Lonchura striata: one gene and its partner. The protein of the gene in region 1 purifies or fractionates together with the protein of each later gene. This does not show direct contact. Links are inferred from orthologs where the notes say so. Each region holds a gene or a part of one and is shown in the gene's direction. Other genes may lie near its edges.

The links. The genes of interacting proteins can lie anywhere in the genome.
Region 2: the proteins of STK3 (region 1) and RASSF3 purify together in Homo sapiens (affinity purification with mass spectrometry; 4 studies listed by BioGRID and IntAct, with this or other methods). This does not show direct contact. The link is inferred for Lonchura striata from reciprocal best matches to the Homo sapiens genes STK3 and RASSF3.

What each region holds. Positions count from the first base shown.
Region 1 is NC_134603.1:22,422,609-22,433,408, forward strand, and holds the start of STK3 (serine/threonine-protein kinase 3), read left to right. Parts: upstream 1-5,612; 5' UTR 5,613-5,765; coding exon 5,766-5,788; intron 5,789-10,800. UniProt on the Homo sapiens protein: Stress-activated, pro-apoptotic kinase which, following caspase-cleavage, enters the nucleus and induces chromatin condensation followed by internucleosomal DNA fragmentation.
Region 2 is NC_134607.1:42,827,382-42,837,357, forward strand, and holds the start of RASSF3 (ras association domain-containing protein 3), read left to right. Parts: upstream 1-5,937; 5' UTR 5,938-6,009; coding exon 6,010-6,130; intron 6,131-9,976.

The sequences.
Region 1 (10,800 bases):
TGCAGTGCTCAATATTCACAATCTGTTTTCAGGTTGTTGAGTTCTCCTTATTTTTTATTCTGTCATTTGGCATCACACATATTGAAACTTCTCTTCCAGCACTTAGGTGAAAGGCCCACAAAGGCAAGGAAACTTCCCTCCTTTGAATCTGAAAGAATGGGTCTTGTTAGCCTCTTGAAATCTTTATGCCCAAAAATTGTAAAAAAAAAAAAAATCCTTATCTTCTCTAAATATTTTGACCATGTATTATTAAAATTCTCATCTCAGAAGCTTAAGGAAGATAGGAGAAAATCCAGCCACCATGGTGGTGGAAGCCTTGGCCATAAGGCTGTGTGTACTCACACAGCTGAAGCTGCTTTCATGAAGTACTTGATTCATCAAGTAATGATGATTCAATCTTTCTTTTGTTATTGATACTAGTTTCCACCCTGGCTGCAGGCATGAAGGCTTGCTAGTTAAATGTTACTTATTTATTCTCCAGGGTGTGAGCACACCTCTTTGCACACTGGAGAGCAGATGGTTGCTCTCAGAAAGAGAAGGAATATTTTTGTGCAGAAGAAAATCCAGAGTAACCCTCAGTATTACCACAACAGTAATTGTTTCACAATCCATAATGATTTTATTAATGCCAATCTAGATCCCATGAGCACAATCAATGCAGCTGTAGTACAGGCTAGAATATCTTCTGTGGTCAACTGTAAATAGCAACTCTGTATCCATGGTTTATTTTTACCATAGTGTGCTATAATAGGAAAAATAGCAAATGGTAATTCTATATATAGCCTGTTACCAAGACTGTGAACAAAATGGTTAGTCAACAGTAAAAGCCTATCCTAATCAACAAATGGTTTTAGGTCCAGTAATAATATTTTGAATATCAAAATAATGTATACTAGGTAGTGAAAGGAATTGCAGCAGTGCAGCTAATATTTTATAGGCCTTTTATGACTCTTTTTAATGTTAAGTAGGAATTTTGTGAATCATGTTGATTTTAACAGACTGGAAATGGATAGCAGACTCTATATTGCTGTACTTATATATTGCCTGACTTTTTATCTTCTGCCTCTTTCTTTTGTTGGACCAGCAAAAATTCATTTTCCTTTTAGTGACATTAATTAACCATTAAATGGTGAATAGATCAGGAAAGGAGAGCCCCCTGTCTCTATGCCTTGTTCTTTATTCCTAAACTTACTTAAAAACCCACTATAGAAAAATATAAATTTTATTCCAGGCTTGAAAATATTATGTTCTTTTATATTTTATGTATAACTATTTTATGACTGACAAGGTTAGAAAAGTATATAACAAATTCTTAGATAAGTCTTCAAGGTTACTTCACATTAGACATGATAGGTAGGAAGAAAATACAGGCAGAAGTCAAGTTTCCTTATCTTCTGTATAAACAAGCTGGTATTTCATTCAAGGCCTTTTCCTTAACTTTCGGCATACCAGATCAGTATCAGGCAGTCACAGGGAGAGATATGCAAACATGCTGTTGTTGACTATTTATCTACTGAATTTATGAATTGGATTCCAAGGAAAGCAGGCTCCTGAATTCATTCCATCTTTGTGCTTGCCTGACATCCCCTACCTTTCTCCCCTTCACAATAATTTGTGACTTACCTTACTAGTCTTAAACATGTTTCATGGAAAGTTGGAGGTCTGTAATTATAGTAAATTCCTATTTTTACAAAACTCAAGGGTAGAGGAGGGAATGCCCTGCTTGTGGGGCAGTCTACTCCAGGGCAAAGGAAAAATAAGGGAAACTCTGTCCTTACCTGGGTTTGGGCCCATGCTGTGCACTGGCCTCCAGCATTCTCCTGTGAGCCAAACACCTTTTCCTGTGAGTGAATCTGCAGATGTGATGGAGACACAGCATCCTTAGGACTCTGTGGGCCAATGCCAGAGTGGGCCAAGGCATGGTGAGACACCAGTGATGTGGAGGGTTTTAGGGAGGATCAAGCTGGGAGCGTGCTTGGGGGTCTATATGGCTTTTGTTGGTTTTGGTGTGCCAAGCAGGTGAATGGAGCTACTGTGGGATGATAATTCCACATCAAGGGAAAGAGCATTGAAGACCCGGTCTGTGTGAAAGAAATGGGAGCTACCATGGTGAAAGGGTAGAAAGCAAGGAAAAAGAGCTGGCCTGTGAAAAGCAGCACAGACATGATGAAGGACTAGGGGCATTTTCTTTGGGGAGTGTTCATGACAAGTATCTCTTGGAAAACACACACTATTTATTAATTCTGCTGTTTTACAGTAGCATCATGTATTCATTACAATGTACTTTGTTTAAATGAGCCTGATCTAATACCTTCTGAAGTAAATGCTGCTTTTATTTGCTATCAAAGGGATGAGATAAAGTCCCTGCTATAACATAGGTAATTTATTTGCATGATGTTTATGAATGACTTTGAAGTACATATTTGTAATTTAAATCCCAACATTAGTAATACCTGTTGAAAATGCAGACATGAGCTTCTCAAGTAATTTTTATTCTTCTTAGTTTTATTACAAACTATATACACTGAGACAGGACTGATATCTTAGGACTTTTTAGTTCATATTTTTAGGGGCTTAAGAACTTCCTTTGTGTATGTTTCTACAGCACCTAATAGTTGTCCATACATCATGATTTCTGATTTCATTGTAGTATAAGTAATTATAATATATATTATTTTATCTGTTTACAAAACTGTATTATAAAATAATTATAGTACTCAAAAATTAAGTATGGTCTTCATCCATTCTTTGGCCTAAGGAATTGTATTTGATGTTGATGCCAATTCTGAAGAGAAGGGCGACCTAATTCAGGCAGGTAAATTTGTAAAATGGATAAAATACTTCAGAAGAAAAGAGTAGTTCAGTTAGTTTCCTCCTACATTTTTAGGATTGGGCTACATTAAGCCTTTTCTTACTCAGCTGGCTTCTTAGTGTTAGTCCTGCTGTTGGAAGAAATCATGGGAATACTCATGTAGAGTGTCTGCAACTTCCTCATCTCCATCTTGTCTAGACACCAGCAATCTCATAGTATATTCATGCCTCCAGAACATCTAGACTTCTCTTAACTGGGAACTCTGAATGAGGTAGGAGAACAGAGGGAATCTGTTTTCCCTTTCAAAGTTCCTTCTTTGCCAGTGGCTAAGTACAGTATTGTAATGAATACCAAATCAGTGTTATATTTCACAGTATGGTTCTCAAATTCATGTCACAGGGGAAAGGTGAGATAGTGCTATTTATTCCAATGTCACTGACTAAAAATACTACTAGAAATTATAAGAGATTAATAAAGTGATATTGAAAAATACTGTGGTAAATATGTTATCCTACTGATGTTTTATTTTCAGTTTAAATGTACTTAGAAAGCTTTCTGGCAATTGTACAAGATACAACTTAAATTTCTGTGAGAGAGGCATGGAATTAGTCCATACTTTTTTTGGCACTGTCTGCCCCATTATGTAATAAAGCCAGGCTATCTAACTTCTCCTCTTTCAGACATCTTGAGTTTTTGACACCCTTTTCTTTCTTCAGTGGCATAGATGGAGGATAGTCTTTCTCCATCTTCCTCAGTTACTGAGGACTCAGGGTATTTTTTTGAAGTGGGGATGGTGGTATTAAATAATTTCAAATGAAATGAGAAAATTTCTAAATGTGCTAGTTTTTTGCTTGGAAAAAAATTTTTTGTTCTTGTCAATTGTTGTTTAAGGGAGAGGTAAAAGTGGTGGATTAGACTGTTTAGCCTAAGTTTTTCCAGAAAATGAAATATATGTGTGAATGGGGAGAGGGAGCACTTCTTGGCTCTGTTTCTTTGTATTGCTGTTGCAACTATAATATAGTACCTGTATTTTATTTCTAAGAATCCTTTTCCATGCTTTAATGTGTAAGTCTGTGGCACCTTTGGCTTGAGATGTGGCAGCAAAACTCGCCTCCTCTGAAATAACCTGGAAAAAATACTGTCTTAAATATTTGTGTTAAAGGATGTGGAGACAACCTCTGCATTCCAGAAGTATTAAAGCCAAAGAGGGATTCATTAGGTGAAATTGGTGAATTGTAAATAATAATTGGTCAGTGGCTATAGCCAAATATCCTGTAGAACAAAGCTGGACACTGGCCACGTGGCATTTGCTATCTGCCTGACCTCACTGGAAAATGAGACATGTGGAATTCCTCCTCACCACTTTCTGAGGCACTTATACCATACTCCATCTCAGGCATCTGCTGGCTCCTTTTCTTAAGTGGTTTTTTTTTTTTTTTTTTTTTTTTTTTTTTTTTTTTGGCATATCCTACAAACTGCTGTTTATGCTATGGACACATCTGGCAGTTCTGCTGGTGAGACACTGTGGCTTGTGGGATGATGCTTGGAAGAGCTGTGCATTAATCTGTTGTGCAAAAGAAGATGTTCTATTGCAGTTTTTCCATGACTCAGAAAAACAAAGAAACCTAAAAGGTCATATGGTGGTGTGTGATTTGTTTTGTGGGTTCATTCAATATTGCCATTGTGCATTTGGCCCAACTACAATGAGTCAACAGGGTTGGACTGACTCAAAGTAGAGAACTTGCACAACAGTAGGACTTCATTCTAAATTCCCTTGCTAGTTCACATCAAAGAGATGAAATTACGTATGGAGTGCAGATATTTTTATGAAGTGGGAGTGTAATACCTGCACATCTAAAATCAGTTTGAAGTGAAACGTGGGCATCTCAGTGTTTTTATGCAACTTGCCTAGGTGTTTTACTACCTTGAACTTCCATTAGTTAGGCAAATAAACCTACTGTCAGGAAAGTATATAGAATTTGGCTTGAGCAAGTCAGCTTTGCTTGTATTGACTTGGTTACATCTACTTGGATCCATCTGATTCAAGCACGTAAGTCGAAGTTGTAAGGTGGTGAAATTGCAGCTGTCACATGGTGCTCTGGAGCCTGAAACCTGCTGCTTGAGTAATTAATTACGTGACAGCTTCCCTGCTTCGCAGGCTACCCTGTGTGCTTTGGCACCACAGAGCCAAGGGCCAAGCGCCGGCCCTTTTCCCCTCAGGAGCTTGCCCGTGCCACCCGGGGTGGCAGCGGGGAGCGGCTCGGCCGCCGCGCCGGACCCGGGGCTTCCCCTCAGCGCTGCTCCGGCCGCCCGCCCAGGCGGGGGCTGCCCGCGGCGCCGCCGCCTCGCCCGGCGCACGCAGGCGGTGGAACGCCCGGCCGCCCGGCAGCGCTGCCCGAGGCCACGGGGCGGCCGCGGGGGAAGGGCCGCCCTTGGGCGGCGGAGCTGCCTGGGGCTGCCCTGCCCGGCGGCGCAGCGCAGAGCCGGGGACGGAGCGCGGGAGCGGAACGGCGCCGCGGGGGTGCCGGTTCGCACAGCCCGGCTCGCGGGGACGCCCCGCGGGCGGACTACACCTCCCGGCGTGCCCCGCGGGCCGTAGCCGCGCGGGGCATGCCGGGAGCTCGGCAGCGCCGCGGCGTCCATGATCTTCCCCTCCCGCCGGCGCGGCAGCGCCCGCTTGCCTCGCGGGGGGCGGGGCTTTCTCGCAGCCGCCGCTCTGAGCGACGTCCACGCCACCCTATCAGCGCCGGTGTGGCGCGGCTGTAGCCAATGAGCGGCGCGGGGGGGCGGCTCCCCGCCGCGGCCGGAGGTAGCGGTAGTGGCGGCAGCCGGAGCGCGGCCGTGGGAGGTTGAGGGCTCTGTGGCGGGGTTGTGAGATCGCTCCGGAGCTCTGCGGGGCCGCTCCGGCCCGGGCGCTCGGTCTTCGGCCCTGCGGGGCCGCGGCGGGGACGGCATGGAGCAGGCAGCGCCCAAGAGGTAAGGACCCTCCCCGGCGGCCCCTTCCCCGGCCAGGAGCGGTGGCACGGCCGGGGTGAGGCCTCGGGCCCGGGGTCTGTGAGGGGGCAGTGGGACAGGCACGGCACCGAGCCCTGCGCCCTGCCCGGCGGCCGGAGGGCTCTCTCGCGTGGGGAGGGCTCTTCTGTACGGTGGATCCTCCGAAATACAGCCTCCAGTGGAAATACAGCCCCGGCGGAGACGAGCCCCTGGGGGCTGCTGGAGTTAACAACATTTTTAACGTGAAGTGAGGGAAGCTTGGTCGCCGAGCAGAGTCCTCTCTGCCCTGAGGGTCTCTCACTCGATGGTTCAGGTCTGTGGCAGGAGCACACATGAGTAGTTCTCTTTTCACGCTGGAAAGTGTCCTTGTGCTCTGCTGCTGGAGGGATGGATGCTTGTGGGGGTGGGCGTTGCATAGTTGCAATTGCAAATCGGGGAGTGGGAAGAGGTAAAAGCCAGGAATATTCCCACAGTAGATGTATTTTCTCAAATATATAGACTGGCAGGTCATATTAATTACTGTGCACGTTTTTAAAAATAATGTATCACTTGACTTCTTAGTGCATAAAATAACTTTGTGTTAAATTTTAGTCATATATTTCAGTTGGAAGAAGATATAGTTGTACAATACACAGACCATAGTTGTGTGGTGTACAGAATGTAGTTACATGGTTTACGTATATATATACACTGCCTTTGAGCTCTGATTTTACTTTTGCTTCCTGATAATAAAAAATCTAGGGACTACGCAATATAAATTTGTGATAAAGGATATTAGATACGTTTTTGCATTAATCTTTAAAACCTATATGTTCCCCATTTAGAAAAAACATCTTTAAAAACAACTTCCTGTAGGGTGATAAGACTTGAGAAGAATGTAGTCTTAAACATCTGATGACTTCTCCAATAACTCATAAAGTGACAGTACCTACTGTGGAAAATTTTGAAAAAGAATTGGTTTGTAGTTGCTATCTAGGGTGGTTTTAGCAGGCAGTGGGGTAAGAAGGGACAGACCTATGCTGTACTTTCAGGCTGACAGTTCTGCATATCTCAAATGAAGGAAGTAGGACAAGCACCAGCACAAATTTAGGAAAAGAAATGGAAAAGTCTGGGGAGTAATCAATGTTGCTAGTAGCAGTGGAAACGTTGGGAACTGGTGGTGTAACAGGACTGAAAATCAAACTCAGAAGTTAGCATAACCTCCCAAATGTTTTGGGGAAGATGTGGCATTTGCTGTAACTTTATTACCTAGCTGGAGGTGTGTGTCTGGCCTAACTGAAACAAAGAGATATTTAGGTCTTTGGATTTGGTCAGAAATAACTAGATGTGGGAATATCTAAACTCTGGCATGTTTTTATATTCCACATGGGTTTTGAAGCTTATTTCTGGAAATTTGTGATTTGTTTCTTTAGTGGGAGGGAAAATTTGAACTCAGCAAGATATTAACTGAGGTTATTTCTTAAGATTTCAAGCAAATTTTTCATGGCTGTGCATAATATTTCCTTTATTGGTAGTTTTGTACAGTTTCCCAGTTGTTGGTATTCTCAACTATTCTAGGCCACCCCCTTTTTCTGCAAGTGCAGAAGAAATGCAGATTATTTTTTGTGGGCTAAGTTTTTGGTGCTGTCCTTGGATGCAGTAGTGGCATGAAATGGACTGTGTTTACTTGGCAAAACAGATGTGAACACTAGAATTCTTTACTTTGGTGCCTGTTCACAGGAGCAGTTACTGAGAGGGATCTATTGTCATCATATCTGTGATGCATTTCCATTTACAGTTAGTAGGAATTTCATATGTACAATAAAAAGCTGCATGGATGTCCTAGAATCCCAGTGTTACCTCATAGGTATAGGGCAGTTTTATCTGCACTTCCTTGTAGTGAAGCACACAAGGCAATTGCCTGTTGTATAAATCTGTAATACAGCCCTTCAGAAAGCAGCAGTGGTGATGCCCAAGTGACATTCTAAGCCATTGTGACTTTTCAATGGAGGTGCTATCAAAATAATTCACTTTTTTCATTTGACTAATGCACTGCAGCACTAACACCAGACTTTAAAGGGAGACTCCTTTTCAGAATATTTTAAATTTTAGAAATAATTTAGAGTAGATTTTCTGATTTTATGCTGAACAATTAGTGCAGTAGTTGACACAGTGTTTTCTTGCATCTTGAATCTTTAATTGTACTTTAGATGTGCTTTATAGATTTTTCTCTCACTAGGAAGGAGATTTACTCTTGAAATAGTTACAAAATTTGCCTCTTAGTGGTGTGATTTTCCTTGGTTGTTATTGCTTTGTTTTTCTGTATCCCTGGCAAGCTCGCATGTGAGGATACAGGTTGCATACAAGGGAAAACCAAAGTAGTTATTGACAGAATTTTCTCAAGTACATAGGTTTTAATCTTGCCTATCTCCTGCATGTTGCTGTCAAATAAAAGTCTGCTTAACAAGCATGGGAAGTGTTAATGAAGATTTTCCAGTCCTTTCTTTAAACTTGAGTTTAATGTTCACTGAAAAACACAACATTTCAGGCTTTGTGGAAAAAGGAAGCTTTTCCTTTTCATGTTCTAATAAAAACTTGTTATTAGAATACAAATTGTTTGTGAAAAAGTGTGTTTTTGTTTTTTAAAGTGTGTGTCAGTGGACATGTTGGCAATTGTCAAGTTCCTCCTGAAAATGATGAAACAAAAATGTTTGGGCTTTGCTGGCAGGATGCTCAATGGAAGTACACAGCACAGTGGTGTAAACTGTCTTAATCTTGCTTCTACTTGTGTGAGTGCTGTGAAGCAGAACAAATGTCCCAAGGCTTCCACCTGCCACTTCTACTTCAGATGACTGCAGTGATTGCTCCTACTACCTTCTCTTTTAATATATCAGTATAATTGATCCCAGCCATTCTTTTTAAATGTTTCAATGTGCTAGTTCTTCTGCACAATAAACTGTATATATTCATGTTTCTTGGAGCGGCTGTCCAGTTTTTTGTAACTCATGACAGTCATTGATGGCTTTCTATTCTTTATTCCAGCTTTAGTTTGATTTTTGAACTTTCAAGGATTTTTTATCCCTACCGCTGTAGCACATCACCAATTTATTTTGTGAAATCTATATATAAAGACTGTAGGGTACTATTGTCATGTTTTTTTTTTCCTTTCATTTTTTAGGGAGGAAATCTCTTGCTCTTTCGTGTTGCAGTTCAAATTTTTCTGATCTTTATGCTGTTATTGAGTGCCTACTAGGTTTTCCTTTTCTAGAGTTTTTCTGATGTACTCAATGGCATCTAAGATTCTGGTCAGACTAGGAATTAATGTTTTCTCGTATGAACTGGATTTATAAAAGTATAATTATTTGCTAGGATGTGTTTTCCTTGTTAAGAGACAAGGTGTTATGTGAAAGTTAAACCTTGGAACAAGAAAATAGTTTTCACAGGCCTTTCCCAGAAGTGTAATTTAGTTAATCCTTCTGGTTTAAGGACCAGCTTCCCTTCTAGAAGACCTCTAAAATAGCTCATAATCACTACCCGATAACTTAGATTCTAGAGAAAAAAGTAACTCAGAACAACTTTGTCCAGGTTTTATACTGAACTTCTCTGCATCTCCTTTGGACTTTCTCATATATGGAGATATATATACATACATACACAGACGTATGGGACTTGCATGCTTTGGCCAGAGTAAAGCAGTGCCTGGATGTGCTGATTTATTTGTTCTGTTTTAAATGCTTGTGTTATGAAGGTAGGGAATCAGTGAGGGAGAGAGTGAGACACATTCTGTCTTTCTCTCCTATTGCTCTTGTGCCATTTATCTCTTCATTTTTGCCTCCTGCCCCCTCTTCACTTTGCCCCCTTCCCTCTGCCAGTAAAAGCTGATGCTGAACTCTTAGATGTGTTTCTCTGCCCTAAGATTGTTGCTTTTAAGCAACAAGGTACTATTTCTAGTCTCTTCTTGTATTCTGCTTGGTGCTTTGCAGCCAGTTACACCAGTCGCCACCTTCTTCCTTGTTTCTCCTGGAGTTTATAGCAATGCTGTCTTCACTGCAGCCCTTCAGGGTATATCACCTGATGTTCTGCAGTTCAAGAGCTGAATATTTAAACATCCAGAAACAGAAATCATTAGAATGTCTGAGTCATTAGGATTTTTTGTTGATTCAAAGACCTGTGGTGTTGATACTATCACTTGAACATCTTACCCAGCATCTGTACTGTTACAGTGCTTGTGACGAGCGGGGGAGGTGCTTTGAGCACAGTATTTGGTGATGACATTCCTGAGGCCATGTACCTTTCTCACTGGAAATAGGTTTTGTATTAAGCTACCTTAATGTTAAGTGTGATTTGGTCTTGTAACATGTTTGTCCGACTTGAATAATATGAACATAATTTGAATTTTTTTTTCTGTTTTTCTCCATGTTGATAAGTTGCTTTCCCTTTGCTGTGAAGAGTTTTATTTTCCCTAAAGACACAGACTTTCCAGCTTCTTGGCTGTTTGCTGTAGCAAACTGCATGGTCTTTATTGTAGTTAATGCACCTTTCCTTACTGATTGTGGATGCTTTTTGTATTAATGTAATTGCTACATCTGTGAAATTGTTTTTTGGTGTATAATGTGTGCACCCTTGTGCCTTCTCCTTGCCTTGTGTCCCTTGTTTAACACCAATCCATATGACTTGTGTGCTTTTACAGTTACTTTAAATTCTTTGCTTTTACTTAGATGGTTGGCAATTATAAATCTATTTTGACTCATGAGTTCCCTCACTGGTCAGTGTGGTGGTTTCAGTTCAAAACTGGGCAGAAACACTAATTTCGTGCAGAGGTTTTGGTTTGCTAATTTAAGTTTTTTTTTAATTTTGAGATTTTTTTTGGCTAATGCACTACAGAATACGGGGGGTTTGGTGCTGGCTAATCACTAATACACTCACTTTCTGCTGTGAGATAGGATTAGGAGAAAGGCAAAGAAGGCTTAAAACTTTAAAAGGGTACAAAAGAGAATTTTATTAAAGGTAATTAG
Region 2 (9,976 bases), on another chromosome or scaffold:
CAGTTCATTGTGGGATGTAATGATCCAGATGCCTTTTAAATTATGTTGTGCCTGCATGCTATATATATATATTGCTAGTATCTGTGATTTTAACACACTGCAGAAAAAGGTAAAACTGAAGGTTTTACTGGATAATGTATTTTTGTTAAATGACTAACATAATTTTGTTTTTTGTTTTTGTTTTTTTGGTTTTTTTTTCCTTTTTTTTTTTTTTTGCATTTAGGGCTAGCAGTAGGAGGTCACTGTAAGTCCTTAATAGAGAATATGCTTGGACAGGAAGAAGCAGTCACACTTTGAATTGCTATGAGCCAAGCAGACAGAGATGGAAGCCCCAGTACATTAACTAACATTTTAACTGTGAGATCCACTGGTCAAGCATTAGAGATCAGCTCTTGTCCAGGGGCTGTGGTCATCTCTTCCTTCTGTTGTTAAGTGGTGTTTACCAGAAATCTTCAGCCTTCTTGGAAGGATCTCTTTATCCAGACAGTGAAATGCAGGTCAGCATTGTGCTGGCGGGGTGGCTTTAGGAGCTGCTAGGCATGTCTCTTTTCTCCACACTGTACTGAGTACTGAAGAAAGCCTTTTTAATTTTGCTCAGCAAAGGAGAGTGTACTGTGTGCAGAAGCTTGGATGCCATTGCCTGACAGTGAGTGTAGGAGCTTGGAAGAAAGTATGGAGGGCTACAGTGAAAGTCCACTTGTATTGTACTTTTCTCTTATACTCCTGTTCTAAATATTCACTTATTATCTAGCAGCTGCTGTGGCTAAAGTAAGAAACATTCTACTTTTCTGAGAGAAGAAATGTACAAGGTTAGTCTCAAGTTCAAACAGCATGTAATTGTTCCTACTGCAATACAGATATCTAAAGAAGGAAGGTCACAGCTTGCTTGCACCTAAAAATGGCCAGGTTTTAAGCAGACCGGATTAGGATGAACAAACATACTGTTTTAGCAGTTTGACACGTTTAGGTTTTTCTGCCTCAATCAGTTTTCTCTTAATGATAGTTCCCTGCAAGCTCTCACTGAGAAGTCTACTAATTTTGGCACAAAGTCACCCGAAGCCCAGAGGCAAGTGTCTATCACGCGCCGAGTCAAATCCTATGTGTCAAACTATGTTACAAGGCAACTCAGTATCTTCTCTCCAGTTTTAGCCTTGAGTTTTATTTTTCCTCTGCTTTGCAGTGTAGCTGTTTACAATACAAAAGTGCTTTTCCTAGAGACTGTTCAATAATTTCCCTGAATTTGCTGCTACTAATATAATATCTAATGCAAAGCTAAAATTAACACAAATCTGTTATTTTCACATTACACTATTGTTCTCTTCATCTGGCTTTATAATCTTTTATTCAGCTTTAGTTTTGAAGCACAAACCTTCAGACATGCAGTAAACCTGTAACCAAACCACGGTAAAGAGGAGCAAGAGCAGCACATTGTACCAGCAGCAGTCTCCAGGAAATAGTGCATTACCTTCCTGATGCTCAGCTGCACCAGCACAGCAACAGCAATGCCCTCCCTCACACACTTCCATCACAGTACTGGTCCTACCTGCCTCTGGAAAAAAACATAAAGCAAATTAGAACAAATTTCACTGATTGAAGTATTTGAAATAAAACAGGGAATGACTGTACAGTACAATGGATGATAGTGAAAAGTATCAAGAATAAATATTGCTGAAATACACAGAGAGACATTCTTTTCCATGTAACAATGCAGGAAGACATTTATTTACAGAGTAATATATTGTTGAATTAAACAAGAGCTAATCAAATTTGACCTAATGTGCTTTGGAACAGTGATTTTCTTCCTCAAAATCCAGGATGTGTTTCATTGGAGCTATTGCTAAGAAGAAAGCTTCTTACTCCTTACATCTTAAGGGGAGAAATCAAATTATTCTCCAAAAAGAGTAATTAATAGATCATTAAATCTGATAACAGATGTATTTCACATCAGTTTGAATACTACAGTTCTTCAATTACTACCTTTCAAAAGGAGGCAAGGTTTTGGAAGTTGCAGATTGCCAATCACTGTTTAATTTTTAGTCCTTTCTTTTTGTGTACATGCAGCTGCTGAGAATTAAAAGTTTTTTTAGAAAGCTCACAAATATAGCTGCTTATTCGGATTTGGGAGGGATGAGCAGCTGAGCTGGAAATTGGAAGTATTGTGCTAGTTTCAACTGTTTTAAAGTCAAATGCAGCATGTCTTTGTTTCTTTTCTTTCATTAGTTGTGTTCTTTATTAATTTCCTAGCAACCGCATAGCCTTGTCACACATCATGATGTTATAAATTATGTTTTGTTATGAAATCAGTGATGCTGTGTCGTGGTATTGCTGAATCCCAGTGACTAGTTAGACAGGGCCCTTTTTTTGATGGTTGGATAAAAATTTACAGCTGAACAGAATTTAATTCAAGGTCCATCAATATGGGAAATATCCTTGTGGAGGCTTGACTTCTCCATACTGAACTGTGCCTGCATGTGTAGCATATAGCATAGTGACATATAATCCACATTGGGACAGGTTGGAAAGACACTGCCTTGTTTTCCAAGTATATTATTGCCTGCAAAGAAACCAAAACCTCATTTTGAGCCTAGATAATAGGGATATTTGCCAATGTAGACAAGCAGATACTGCTTAATACTCTCAGCTTTTCCTACACATAGTTCTTATTGTGAACAGGTGTGTGGGGATCTTTGTTCCTGAAACCAGACTAAATGGAGAAGTTCCAGTTGAAGTCAAAGCAAATGAAATCCTTTACTCATCCCAGCAATTTGCTGCCTAAGAGCTGGGGGGAGTGGAAATGGCAGTAAATCCTCACTGAGGAAAAATGCTCTTCTGCTCCAGAGCAGAGACTTCTGCATCTGCCTCACATCTAGCACCACTGTGTGTGCTCCTCCTGATTATCAGACTTCATTTTTATGGTATCTCAGCACTCCTGTGTTGCTCTAAAAAATGCTTGTTAGCAGAGAATTTGCTTTTAAAATACATGAACTCATCAGACCCCAAGAGAATATTTCCAGTAAAGCACTGCTGGTTGTTTACAGTTCATTTAAGAGTGTTTTATTGTAGCAATGAAGGTTAGTTTGGGGTATTTTTAGTTCTTTCAGCTCTGTCAGTGAGTATGGAAGGGCTGCAGTAAGGCAGGCACCAGGTCACCGTGTATCCCCCTCTGCTTAGAGCTGGTCTGTTGAGCTCTGTAGGTCAGGGTAGACAGGGACATGTCTAAACTGATGGATGTTTCATGAGCACCCCTTTGTTTTCCAGCTGTTGGGCACAGGTTGCCATGCAGAAAGTGGGTTGGGAGGCAGACACAGCTGGGCAGTGTGGTGAACCCAGCTCTCCTGACTAGGTGGTGACCTGCCACGCACCCCAGGCACCACACAGACGGAGGCTCTGTGGGCATTTCTGCCCTGCACAGGGGCCCGCTGGGCTCTGACCTCTGCACTGCTGTGGGGAGGTAGGAGGTCAGAGGCTGCTTGCATAGCAGAGGGGACAGCTGCTCACCTTCCTTCCCAGGCAGGTGGGACAGCAATGAAGGCAGCAGTCATTCCCTCCCCTCCTCCAGATGAGCAGAGTGTGACCTGGGGGTTGAAGTCTGTTGTAGGAAAAAGCCTTACGTGGCTTTTTTCCTGAAACAGAGGCAGTGATCAAGAGTCTGAGTCTGCTCACATTTCAGGTCCTTTTGTCCTCCTTGGAAAGTATCTCTGTGCTGTCTCTCTGTCAGAGTAGATTGAAAGGTACATATGCAGCCCTGTGTAGTACCTTTCTAATACAGTGAATTCTTAACCTTAATAATACATCAGTGTAATGTGAGGAATCAGAGTTGTCTTAGGAGGAGCTCTGTGGACTTTCCTGAGTCCAGCTGAGAGCAGTGCATTCCTGTGCACAGCACAGTGGCTCATATTCTAAAGCTAGCAGTTCAGGTTGAGAGGAACTCCCGTCACCATCACACACCCCGATCCCTGAGCTGTGGGAGGCAGGCTGTTCATTAGCTTTGTATTTTGGCCTAACTATGGCCTAAAAATGTAAAGTGATGTAGAAGTTGTGAAATTACTATATTGCAACTACCACTGCTGTTCAGTTTAATTTGAATTCAGGTCTGTGTTCTCATCTGTATTACGTGGTTTGTTGCACAGTATAATTGCCAGATTCATCCCAGTGAAGTCTTTGGATAAAGTAAGATCCGTTTGCTTTAAAGTAATACACAGTGTTTTATGTTCTTGCCTATTTTTGTTTCACTAAATATTGTCAGGTATAAACATCCACAGGTTTGTTACCATCATCAACAAAGTCAATTTATCCCCTTACGTTGTTCCAACTGGGTAAATTTTAAAGCCTCATAAAATTCCAGTATAAAGATACTATATCAGCATTTTCTGTTAAGTGAAAAAAATATTCCTGTCCCCTTCATATCCTGCTAAAGGAGATATATATATATATTCTTTGACAAATCGCAAAACTAGGCAATTTATTACATATTTACTTAGGGTGTGAAATTGTTCAGGGTTTTTTATGCTACTTTGATTTTCATTCAATTTTATATGTAAAAATTTCAGAAAAAAAAGAAGTCATTGTTTGATCTTGTATTTCACAGATGCCAGTACACACTCAGACTCCTATTTCCTAAGAAAAGCAATCTATCTGTCAGGCCTTTAACTCTGCTCCTTTCTTGTTCTGAATTGGGTGACAGACCTCCTGCTTTGCTAAAACTGTCACTTTGCTACTAAATTCCTTCTGGTATGACAGGGTGGAGCTCAAATGAGACAAAATCCAGTGGTCTGTGTCCTGCCTTCTGTTCTTTTCATTGACACTGGCTAAAGAATTGTGACAGATACAGTATAAATAGAAATGTTTATTTGTTTTTAGAGACATACTGACAACAGGAAATGCAATCAGAAACCAGTAGCTCAGTCCTGACTAGCAGCAGTATGTTTAGAAAGTCAGATGTAAAAAATGGAGTTAAATACTTCACATATTTTAGTGTAGAAAAATACACTGTGAATTCTGGAAGATTTATTAACTGTATGCTGTGAACATAGCTGGTGTAACAAAACCCTTACTTTCTGTAGTTTAAAGGTTGATACAAAAGGACCTTTGTTTTGTAATGACATTAGTCTTGATTTTCCAGGGATTTCTGCCATTCAGATCTAGAAGAAGAAAAAAAAAATAAAATCAAATGTGAGAAGCTGGACACATAGTCAAGGAAATCATACCATCCTTGGGAAATTGTTACATAGTCTTACTGTTTAAAAGTGTATTTTAGAAGTTGTGGTAAATTTTGCAGGGGGCATTGCAGTAAATAGCATCTCTGGATTTACAATTTAATATGCACTATGATTGAAGCAGGTGTAGGCTATGTATTGAGATACTGTTAATTTCTTTGTATAGTGATATATTAATAGATGCTCAATTTTTAAGTAAATTGTGTCAGTGAATGATTTGACTCTTACATTTGCCTTAAACTCCGTTAAGAGGAAAGTCTCATTTTGAACAATGTGTGTATCCATAGAAATCTCTGTTAAATTTGCTGCTCAGAACCTTCTGCTGCTCAGAAGAAAGTCTTTGAGAGACTCTCTTTACAGAGGAAATATATTGATTTACATTAAGGGATTTTGAAAGACTACTTGTCACTATCAGTTTTGATGTTTATTTGTTTTCAGCCTGGAAAAGGTAGCTACAGATGAAAAAAGGAGCCCTTCAAAGCCTTTCCTGCAGAAAACATGTCTTAACATCATTGGAAACACAGTAACAGGTTAAGACTCCAGAGCATTGGTCTTTCTTTAGCTGAAGCATCTATTAAAATAGCTGCTTCTTGTAATAAAGAGGGAGGTCTGGAGGGCTCTGAGCGGAGTGACGGAGAGGGTGGGGATTTAGGACTAACAGGTGGTCCTGAGACGTGCTGGCTGACGCTGAGCTCAGAGCCAGCGCACTCACTGTGGGTGTTCGTGGGCTCTCCTCTCTCCTCTGGATACATGTGCCTCTTGTTCCTGGGGTAGCAGTGGAGCCCTTTCAGCCATGGCAGTGAGAAATGATCTGAACAAAACCATCAGGAGGATAGCACGTTTCTTTTACTGGTTTCCTAAATCATTGAGCAGTTCGAGGAGAAGGACGGTAAAACTTCTCTGGAAATCTCCGGGTAAGTCTGCTGCTATTTTTCCCCAGATTTTTTCCTGCTAAACGAAACAAAACAAAAACAACAAAACAAACAAACAAACAAAAAACAAAAAAAGAGGGGAAAAAAAAAAATCTGTTTTCTTTGAACTGGTTAATTTTTCCAGGCCAGAATTGTTTGCATTTTTTCATTCTTGGAGGGTCATTAGGCAAAACTGTCAAAATATTCTGGTAAAGCAATAGAAGGTTCATCAGGCTTGTTCTGGCAAAGAGTTCTTTTGCAGCTGCATAATTTATTCACATCACTGATATTTGGTATCTTGTTTTTGCCATGTTTCTCCCTTAGGTATGTATATAGGAGCTCTGATATGACTCAAATAATTGCCTGAAAGTTATTTAGAATTGCCTTGAGCTGTTCATTGATCTAGAAGGCTGTGCAAAGACTGAACTGACTAAAGACTTTAACTCATTGTACCAGTGTTCACACAAAGTGATGGGCAGCTTAGAGGGGCTTATGCTCAGCAGTGATGCACTTGCCTGCTCTTCCATTTTATCAGCTGAAATGCAGTACAGCTCAGCTGACCAGTTATTAAAGGCATTGTTCCTCACAGCATCTCAGTGTTCTGATCATTGTCCAAGCCTGGCAGAAAACTGTTTGCATCTCTCAGATTAACATTCTCATAAACGCCCTTACAGCCCAAATACCGTTTTGTCCCTTTAGCACGGTCTGTGAAGGCTGGGGCTGAGGCATGTTCTCAGGGGGTTGGAAGAATGTGCACTGCCATAGTGGGGGAAGCCAAGTTCTTTATGTTCTTCTTAAGGGACTAATGGTACAAGGTCAGATTTCTTTTGACTGGGACTCTTTGGAACAGAATGGTGAACTTGTCAATTCTGCAACATTAATAACAAGTTTGTATTTGCATGGCACAGACTTTGGGTCAGTTCCACAGCTGAGCAGCTTAGTGTTGTACTTGAGACAACAGATCTGTGACTCTTGAAAGGGGATGTGCCATCTGAAATCTGTCACAGTAAGGGTGTTAGGACCTAAATGACACATGACTTCTTCCCAAAGGAATCCACAGATTTCAAATATTCACAAGGAAATCTCAGGACATTGAAGTCTGTATGAAACTTTCCTTGATGAATCTAGAGTTTTGAACCTTTCTTGGAATACTGGTAATCTCAGGTCCTCCTAATACATGCAAATCATCCTGAGTCCTCCTAACACATCAGATCATTCCTGCATCTCCTTTATTAATTATTGATAGTAAAAACTATCAATAACTTCTATGGAGAGCTTTAATTGCTAGCTGGGTTACACATGTGTGAAAATGTTTGCATGCCAGTTATCTTTTACCCCAGTATTGCAAAAAAATAATTGTATCTGTGACTTGTAACAAGAAAAGAGGTGAACTCTGAGTGCTTTAAAAATAATGCTTTTTTGTGGGTTGCCTTCCTTCTCCCTCTACATCTGGTGGTTTGAATAAAATGTATCTTTTTACGATCATTTTTAGTGTATGCTTTAGCACCTCTTTAGAACTGAATTTGTGAATATGTCTGAAGTGCCCTAGAAGTCCTTTGCTACCAGTGCAATGAGATATTTGTCACAAAATTGTGGGTTTGATGGAAATGTGTCAATTCAGTGGAAGGTTGAGTCCAAGCAGAAAAAATCTCAGTGTTAAAATTCAACTCAAATTTCTTGTAAGTTTACAGAACCCATTCTTATAAACTGGAAGCTGAAGTCCTGATGCTCCTCTCACAGGGGAGGAGACACAGCTCCTGATTTCTCTTTAGTCTGTACAAAGACAGTAAGTTACACTTGTTAGTTAAACCTTAGCTACCCTGACGTCCACAAACATTTCTGCATTTTTCTTCAGTGTCCAGAATTTCCCTTTAGTTTTTGGTGAATTACAAAATTACCCATTTCCTCAGCTTCCTCGACTCTGAAACATCACAATTTGGTAATTCTTTACCAAGGTGCCCTTCTGTCCTTCTGAGAGAGTTATTCAACTCAAAAGCCTACGCTGAGAAGTACTGACAATCTACCCTGAGCAGTATTGACCATCTGCCCTGATCAGAATTGACTACCATCCCTTGGTACACAGAGATTTACCCTTGCTTCCTAGAATCCAACAACTTTTTGCTGTCTTTTCCTGGTAGGTTTTACTCCAGGACTGGCACTTACAGAATTTTTCATTCAGGATGAGCTAGGACCCAGGATGACCCAGTAGAACAATTCTGTGTCGCTAGGCTTGCCCCATGGATTAATAACTAGCTGGCAATTAAAGCTTTCAGTAATACTTACCGATAATTTTTAGCCACATGTGCTTTAATAATAAAGTAACATTTTAACAACAACAAAATAGAAAATTTCGTTATTTAGACATGTTAGGAAGGTCAGAGATTATGTTCTCTGCTATCTCTTAGATTTTGGGTGATCTCATTCATCATGTAAACCAAGAGATGGGCACTGTGCCTCTGCATAGTACCCTCAGACTTGCTGCTTTTGTTCTGCTTCTATCACTCCATGTCTCAAGATGCCTTGTCCTCTCTGCTTGACCCAGAAACAAAATCTGCTGAAGCACAAAATTATTTTTTAAGTATAACAATGAATTTAGTATTGTTGTAGGTCACTGTGTTCAGAAAGGTGCATTTGACATAATTTTAGAAAGAGCTGTCAAAGCATGATTAGGTTGCTGTTCCTAAAAATGTTTAGCTTTTCAGCCTGTCCTTGGATGGGCACTTTGGGATTAGTGGCCACAGACTTTGGCCTACAGCTAATGTGCTCCTTGCAAAGCTCTAAAAGAAGGAAGAAAATTTGTGAGCATTCTTCAGTCACTGATTTTGATTAAGTTACTTACTGAAGGATTAAAAAAATATCTTAGACATGGTTCAGAATATACTAAATGTAGCTGATAATATTTTAACTGCATTTAGTTTGATGAAGCGTACATTACATAAGAGGTTTAAATTGAGGGATGTAGATTTTAGGGTTCTGGAGCCTTCATTTCTTTGAAATATGTTTGAATGTTTCCTACAGCATCTTAGGAGAATTTATGCTGGCACATCATGTGACTAGAAATTTTATCATGATAAAGTATGTATGTACAGGGAGAGATATTGAAAGGCAAAGGAATTAGAAAAAATATCATGAAGAGCCATGATAAGACTATAGAATGATACAAAAATTCAAAATAGACATGTAACTCCTGTTTTCTCTGTCTTATAGCAGAGGAATAAGGTGAGGGGTGACAAATATAAAGCAGATAAAAGGATTTTTCAAAATTATTTTTAATTCAGTATGTAATTAAATTGTAGAACTCATTACGAGAGGATGCTGCTGAGGTCAGGAATGTAACGAGATTTAAAGAGGGTCTGGAAAAATAAGAATATTCAATATTATGATAATTGAAGCTACAATAAAAGCTTTGAAAGCCACATAAATCTTCTTGCTTAAAGATTTAAGATGACTTTTAACAATTAAGGATTAGTCTGAGATAATTTTGTGGCTCAGATCTCACAACTGTTACTCTTTCATGAATTTCTCCTTAAGCAACTAATGCACCCCCCTGGAAGAGATAATTTTATGATCTGCATTGATTTAAACCTTTACGATGTTTTTTAGGCTTATATAGAAAAAAATAGGGAGTTCTTCTGAGCTCTCAGGACTATTTTTATGTGTTCCATGTCATCTGTGAACTTGAAACTTGTTTGTTACCAATTCCAGCAAGAAGAGGGAGTTTGTTAAGTCAGATTTTAGACATGCTCAGAAGACAATCCCATATTATCCTGTGGAAAACATAAAAAGCGTGATGCTTGCTGATTTTTTTTTTTTATATTTTTTTTTTACTTTGCAAAACTGCCCCAGGGG